Mus musculus: one gene and its partner. Each later gene encodes a partner of the first gene's protein in a complex. Links are inferred from orthologs where the notes say so. Each region holds a gene or a part of one and is shown in the gene's direction. Other genes may lie near its edges.

What was found. The genes of interacting proteins can lie anywhere in the genome.
Region 2: Cir1 (region 1) and Sap30 share a complex: the UniProt entries of both Homo sapiens proteins name them as parts of the histone deacetylase complex. The link is inferred for Mus musculus from reciprocal best matches to the Homo sapiens genes CIRSR and SAP30.

Annotation. Positions count from the first base shown.
Region 1 is NC_000068.7:73,306,093-73,309,592, reverse strand, and holds part of Cir1 (corepressor interacting with RBPJ 1), read left to right. Parts: intron 1-2,664; coding exon 2,665-2,738; intron 2,739-3,154; coding exon 3,155-3,165; intron 3,166-3,251; coding exon 3,252-3,316; intron 3,317-3,500. UniProt on the Homo sapiens protein: May modulate splice site selection during alternative splicing of pre-mRNAs. Regulates transcription and acts as corepressor for RBPJ. Recruits RBPJ to the Sin3-histone deacetylase complex (HDAC). Required for RBPJ-mediated repression of transcription.
Region 2 is NC_000074.6:57,485,061-57,489,167, reverse strand, and holds the start of Sap30 (histone deacetylase complex subunit SAP30), read left to right. Parts: upstream 1-1,307; 5' UTR 1,308-1,601; coding exon 1,602-1,916; intron 1,917-3,532; coding exon 3,533-3,658; intron 3,659-4,027; coding exon 4,028-4,107. UniProt on the Homo sapiens protein: Involved in the functional recruitment of the Sin3-histone deacetylase complex (HDAC) to a specific subset of N-CoR corepressor complexes. Capable of transcription repression by N-CoR.

The DNA of each region.
Region 1 (3,500 bases):
ACTAGGAAGCCGACACAGGCTCCCGTGTGTCAGACCAGCATTCTCCTAACCGAGTTATATCTCAGCCCATATATTAGCAACCATGCTGATCAGTATGGAGTGGTAGCTTGCAGTTTTCATTTGTATTTCTCAATGTCTACTGAAACTAACCTTTTCATGTACTTGATTTAAAAAGGTTGAATGGTGTTAAGACAAAATTCATAGATATTTAAAATACACCTGAATTTTTAACTTTGTTTAGTGTTTGTAATCCATCACCATATCAACTTTCAAAACATTTTGTCATCTGAAAAAGAAATTTGATGCACATTAGTAGCTGTTTTAGGTAGGGTTTCATTGCTGTGAAGAGACGTTGTGAGCAAGGCAACTCTTACATAGGACAGACTTGATTGGGGCTGGCTTAGAGGTTCAGAGGTTGAGTCCATTATTGTCATGGTGGGGAACATGACAACGTGCAGGCAGACATGGTGCTGGAGAAGGAGCTGAGACTTCTACATCTTGATCAGAAAGAGACTTGTATACCCCACTGGGTGTAGCTTACGCATCTAAGACCTCAAAGCCCACCTCCACAGTGACACACTTCCTCCATCAAGGCTACACCTACTCTAACAAGACCATACCTCTTAAGACTGTCACTCCCTGTGGCCAAGCATTCAAACGCATGACTATGGTGCCATTCCTATTCAAACCTCCACAGGAGTCATTTCCCCATTTCTTAATTTACCTCATTTCTGCCTGTTACAAGTAATCACCTTTTACTTTCTACCTATAACAGTGTAGTTTTTAAAATTATGCACACATGAGGCAAATGATTACAGAGTCTTTTGTGACTGGTTTATTATTTTAATTTTTTTTTCAAGACAGGGTTTCTCTGTATCGCCCTGGCTGTTATTTTAATTTTTAAAATATATTTATTTATATGTGTGTGTGTGTATGTGTGTGTGTGTGTGTGTGTAGTGGCATATGAGGACTTTGGTCCGCATGTGGAAGTCAGAGGACAGCTTGGTGGGAAGCAACTCCCTGTCTTCACATATGTGGGTCCCAGGGATTGAACTCTGGCCAGCAGTCCTGGGTGGTGGCAACTTTACCCTCTGAGCCGTGTTAGGGCTCCTGATTTCTTTCCCTTAACATGTTTTTGAAGATCATCCACCACTTACACTAGTGCACATTCCTCTTGATTAAAAATAATATTCTATGGGCTGGGGAGACAGCTCAGTGGTTAGAGTACTGACTGCTCTTCCGGAGGTCCTGAGTTCAATTCCCAGCAACCACATGGTGGCTCACAACCATCTGTAATGAGATTTGATGCCCTCTTCTGGTATGTCTGAAGACAGCTACAGTGTACTTATGTATAATAGATAAATCTAAAATAATAATAAAAATAGTAATAATCCTCAATAAAGATGTGTATGTATGTTCTTCTGTGTTTTTTTTTTAACAGACTTTTTTGGTATAGAATTCATGGAGAAAAGAGAATTACACACAATAATGTAGAATATCCTTTGACTTGTCTTTCCAAATACAAAGACATTCCATACTTTAGCTTTTTTTTAATACTTACCTTGGATCTTAGGGACTTATGTGTAACTCAGCATAGTCATCCTGTTTGCAGTGGACTTTTTCCCTACAGAGCCCAACAGCATGCTGTGCACACAGTCTACAGAAGGAGATTTCAATTGCTACCAAAAATCTAAGAACGTCTGAGGCTTTCATTGTATTAGCCTGTTAGAGAATTTGGTTCTCTGGGCTGGGAAGTTACCTCAGTTTGTGAAATGTTTATCATGCAGGCATGAGGACCTAAGGTTGGATTCCCAGCCCCCACATAAAAAGCCAAATTGTGGTAGGTGCCTTTGATCCTAGTTCTCTAGAGGTAGGGCTTGCTGGTTTACTGTTCTAGTCCAGTCAGTGTGAACCCCGGGCTTATTGAGAGACCATGTCTAAAAGGTAAGCTGGAGGGCTGGCCAGACGGGTAAAGGCAGTGCGATCCCTAAGACTCACACAGAGATAGAAGCAAAGAGCTATTTGCACAAATCTGTCCTTTGAGTTCACAGGCATGCAGACATGCTTCTACACACCACACAGTGACTTACAAATAAGGTGAGTGGATGAGAAAAGCACACACACACCCTTAGCTTCTGGCCTCCACGTGCATGCACGTTCACACACATACCACCCCCCCACACACACACACACACAATCCACAATTAACAACACTAAAATAGTTGACCATGGTGATGTACACCTTTAATCCCAGCAGAGATAGGTCTCTGTAAATTCAAGGCCAGCCTAGTCTACAACTCCAGTTCCCAGACAGCCACAGCTACACAGAGAAACCCTGTCTCAAAAAGCCAGAAAGAAAAAAACTAAATATTTTTTAAAGAAAATTAAAGGTTGTGGCACCAAAATATATAATAGCATACAGGATTTCAAAACTATTTCAGCAACAGTTGACAGTTTTAAAGAAAATCCTGTTAGAGTAACCATACCATGCTTTTCCTTTCTTACTGAGAGAACGGGAGGGAGGGAGGGAGCCTCAGGTTTATGGCAAGTTTCTAGTAAGGAGGCACTGTTCAGGGTTTGTCTTAATTTCTTCAGGGTTCCTTCCGAGAGATAGTGTGCTGTCATATTCTTCTCGACTTAAACTTTTATCATTATTTCATTCAGATTGCTTATGGGAGATGAACGTGTGAAGAATGGCCTGAATTTCATGTACGAGGCCCCACCAGGAGTTAAGAAAGGTACCCGCCTCGTTTCCTTTGAGCTTTGATGTAATTACCTGTAAAGAGTTAGAAGAGGGGACAGTATTTTAATTTTGATTTGTATTTTTCCATTGCTGTTGCTCTAACAATGTTGTCATGTGCAAAGCAAAATAAACAGTTTCTAATGTTTCTTATGTGCTTTGGAGGAAAATGCTCAATACTGGCAGAGGTACATTCAGCCCTCTCATAATGTAAACATACCTGTGGTCCTTATTAAAATAAATCTCCAAATGGAAAGTCTACTCATTGCCAGTGAAAACATAAAAGCTTAAAAATTAGGAACTAAACTGCCTATTCTGAACGATATTTCAGTGTTGTATTATATCCGTCAGTGATAAGTAGTAGACATTCTAACTTGTCCTGTTTCCCTCCTGTGCTTTGAATATGCAATCAAGAAAACAAAGAGGTAAAGTACTTTTCTCTGTTTGAATTGATCGGTAGTTGATTGTGATTTTATGGACAGTTGACAGATTTTTTTACTGACTGTTGTAGAAAGAAGAAACGGAAGGAGAGACCGAGTACAAGTTTGAATGGCAGAAAGGCGCTCCGAGAGAAAAGTGAGGCTGCTCTGTACGGGGAAAGCATAAGCTTGTGTGTGCTCCTGCTTGCCTCCTGCTTGTTAAGGTTCACTGACCAGGGCAAGGACTGGTGTGAGAGGGTGTTCTAATGACTTACCTCCTACAAACAGTGCGCTTCATTCAAGCCTGCTTTAAAACCTTATAGTACATTATCAGACTATAC
Region 2 (4,107 bases), on another chromosome or scaffold:
AGGCTGGAATGTGGCCCCTTCTTATTCTATTACCAACTTTATGTTTTCCAACTCCTTCCCAGCCTAAGCTTAGCTGTCCTGGAACTTGCTCTGAATATTGACCTTGAACTCAGAGATATGTGTGGCTCTGTATCATTAATGCTGGCATTAAAGGCATGTTCTACCATGACTGGATTTAAACTTTTCTCTATTTGGAACTTGCTCTGTTCCAAGCTGGTCTTGAACAATGAAATCTGCTTGGCTTTGTCTCTTTGGATTAAAGGTGTGAAAGCTTGGGCCTAAGTTTTTCATGACCTCTGTGACGATTATATATATATATATATATAATCGTCACTGAATTGGTTGAATCTAAAACAGGCTTTCTCAAAACTCTTCCACTTGAAATAAATTATTTTTGCTTAAGCTTAAGTCTAATAATTATCAGAGGTTCAGGGTTGGCATGGCCACGCCCATTCTTCCACCCCGCCCACCACAGGCACAGGCAAAAATACACATTACGCGAGCACAAACACGTACCCAGGCGCGCACGCGCGCAACCCCCCCCCCCCCCACACACACACCCGCGGCACACACAAGCACACATGTACGCATGCATATGACTCAAGAAAAGAGGTTTCTCGATCCTCGTCCCCTACAGCCAGGGCTAAGTTTTGATGAGTAGTCTGCAGACGTGATACTAGTGTGCTTCCTTTAAATGGTCTTAAACCCTCTTAGATCCGTTTGAAAGGAATCCAAGTGGCAGTAGAGGCGACAAGCAGCCCGATGCCTGCCAACCCGTCGGCACACGAGTATGCCAAGGACCTGCCACGCTCTAGAAGTCAGCTGCGGTATGGAGATGGAGATGAAGGACTCTCCGCCTAAAGAGCGCTAGGTATCCCGAGTTTTCTTTCAATAAATACCAAACAGCCCGTAAACTTTTTCTCACTTAATTCTTACTACCCCCCCCCACCCCCCACCCCCCCACACACACACACCATTAATGCTTCTTCCCAGGAGTCAGCTGGCGGTCTGAACACTAACTTTGCGAAACAAGAGGAGCTAAAACCAGCCCTTGCTCGCAGGAGAGAATAGAGGCGAGAAAACACGGTAAAAGCCTGACCTCACAGTCAGACTTGCCCGGTGCTTGGAATGGAAAAAAAAAAAAACTAGGGGTGGCTCGCCACGCGACGCATGCTGGGATGAGTAGTTTGTCCCGCTGGTCCCGCACGTAATCAGAACAGAGCGCAAGTTAGCTCCTCGATCAAGAACTACCATTCCCGTGGGGCCGCGCGGCAGGTGTGGGGCGGGGCCAGAGGAGGGGCGTCTCCCTCGCGCAGGTTCTGGGGTTGAGAAGGAGGCGGAGGAGCTGCGGTCCAACTGCTGAAGTCTCCATGTGACAGTGAGTGGGGTCTCCTTTCTAGGCGCCACTTCACTCCTGATCACAGTCACAGGACCTGGTAGCTATTCCAGCACCGACAGACCGGCCGGCCCTGGACTCTGGGCGTCGGACCGTGCCGCCACCAGACTTGGGGTGCGGAGTGAACGGCCGCCCAGGGGAAGGAGGCGGAGCGGCGCGGCGAGCGGGGCTCTGTAGCGGCGCCGGCGCCCCCGAACTGGCAGACATGAACGGCTTCACTCCGGAGGAGATGAGCCGAGGCGGGGACGCGGCCGCCGCCGTGGCCGCGGTGGTCGCTGCTGCGGCTGCCGCCGCCTCGGCGGGGAATGGGAACGCAGCCGGCGGTGGGGCAGAGGTACCCGGTGCCGGTGCAGTGTCAGCTTCTGGGCCACCTGGAGCGGCCGGTCCCGGCCCTGGGCAACTCTGTTGTTTGCGGGAGGACGGTGAGCGGTGCGGGCGCGCGGCAGGCAACGCCAGCTTCAGCAAAAGGATCCAGAAGAGCATCTCTCAGAAGAAGGTGAAGATCGAGCTGGATAAGAGTGTAAGTGGCCCAGGGACCGCCCTGCCCTATCCTGCGTGCCTCGCCGGATGGTTGGCGGGGTTCACGAGTCTCGGGGATTGGGTTGCAGGTGGGATTAGTGGTTCTCTGATTGAAACAAAGTCCCTGCAACTCCGGCCACCTTCCCCAGCGCGCGCTCGCGCAGTGGTGCGGGGCTCCTCCGCCCCTCGCCCGGACTCCCGCTGCCTCGCGTGTCTCCCACGCCAGGCTTCCCTCTTCCTCCTTTGCTGCGATCTGGAAACGAAACAAAGGGGACCGCAGCACCGAGGGCCCGGAGTAGTTTTCTCGCAGCCGGGCAGTCCCTTCTGGAATGGAGGCGCCTTTGTTTTGCTGCCAGAGCCGGTGTCTGCCCTAGGGAGCAGCTTCGCTCCTCTAGGGAAAGTAGAGTCTGGCTGGACCCCACAATTCTCTCTCTCTCTCTTTTTTTCCTTTTTGTCTTTTCTTTTTTTCTTTCCTCCTCGTTGTTCTCTTTCTCTTGAACACAGACAAGCAAGCTGAGCTCACCAGTTGCCTTACAGGGAGATAGATGATTGTAAACGTTGTTTGCGGTGTCAGCTCTTCGGGCAGCTGCTCCGAACCAAGGCTGCAAATAAGCCTCTGCGGTTTTACAGCCCTCTCGGCAGCCATCGGGATTTCTTTTTCTGTCTTTATGCACGTCTGCTGTTTTGGCCAGCTATGAGGTTTCAGAGAATTCCATTGCTACTTTTCAGAGCTCTGACTGATGGCAAAGGAAGAACAAGATACAGAACCTCCAGACATCCTGTATATTTTTAACTTACCCTTAGCTTAGAAGTCAATTTAAAAGCCTGTTCATTCGGCCTTTAATTGTAGCCTTAAAAGGGGGGGGGGGGAGAGTGTCAATCAGCTCAGTATTTCCTAGTCCACTGTATATACAGCTCTCAAATCCCCGAGTAATTAATTTTTTTGAAAAGTTTATTTGTGATTCTGTTTAGGCAGGTTTCTCAGTAGGGTCCATGAGAAACTTTGCAAGAGAACATGAATAATTTGCTTTAATTGAAAACACAAAATACAGAGAAATATATTCGCTTAATCCTTAAAAAGAAACCTTAGGGTTCAAATTTAAACATAGGATATGAATTCAATGTTGCATTTGTAAAGAAATGCATACTTTGTACCTGTAGAATTTCACTATCTAACAGATCAATCAGAAAGCATGTACCTACGAGTAATATAATGCTGCTCTCAAGCTAGAGAAAATACAAGGACAAATTTGTGGGCAATGCCACCTCTCCCTTTTAAGTTAAAATCAGCAGGAGCTAACTTATTTAGGTCACCTTCCCTGCAATTTGATGACAAGACCCAGAGAATTGGAATTTTTCTTCCTTTCCTGCCTGCCTGCCTTCTCCAAGATACTACCCGCCCGCCCACCGCTTCCAATTCCTCCCCTCCCCCATTTCCTTAACAGTATCGCCAGATTGCTAATGTTACAACATTTTAATAGTGGAAAGAAACATTGCATCTTCTGAACAGTGGCCTGTTAAGATGATTTTTAGTCAGCCACCTGGGCCTATGCATTTTACTAATACTTAGCTGCAGTTTTTCTGGACTCACAGTCTTTGAAAATTTTTCCTTTACAGGCAAGGCATCTTTACATTTGTGACTATCATAAGAACTTAATTCAGAGCGTTCGGAACAGAAGGAAGAGGAAAGGAAGCGATGATGATGGGGGAGACTCGCCTGTTCAGGACATCGACACTCCAGAGGTAGATGGCAGGCTTTTCCCCATGTTATATGTAAATCATAAGCATGCTGGCAATCCCAACACCATTCTGTAAATATTTGAGCTCTTCTTTAACTGTTTAAAGCATCTGAAAAATCTCAAAAGTTATATACAGTCAGTGAAGATGTATTTATACTAATATTAAATCTCAGACGACATTCTTACAGCTCTTGACATACAACTTCCTCTTTTGTTTCTCCGGAAGTTTACAATATGTATCCCCCAAAGATGGAACTGTTTAATAAAGTACAGGTCTGAGTGTGTAAATGAAGTCATTGTGTGAAGTGTCATAATACAGATCAATGATATCTTTTCAACAGAGTGAACTAACTCATCTATTTTTTTTTTCTAGGTTGATTTGTACCAATTACAAGTAAATACACTTAGAAGATACAAAAGACACTTCAAGCTTCCAACCAGACCAGGTCTAAA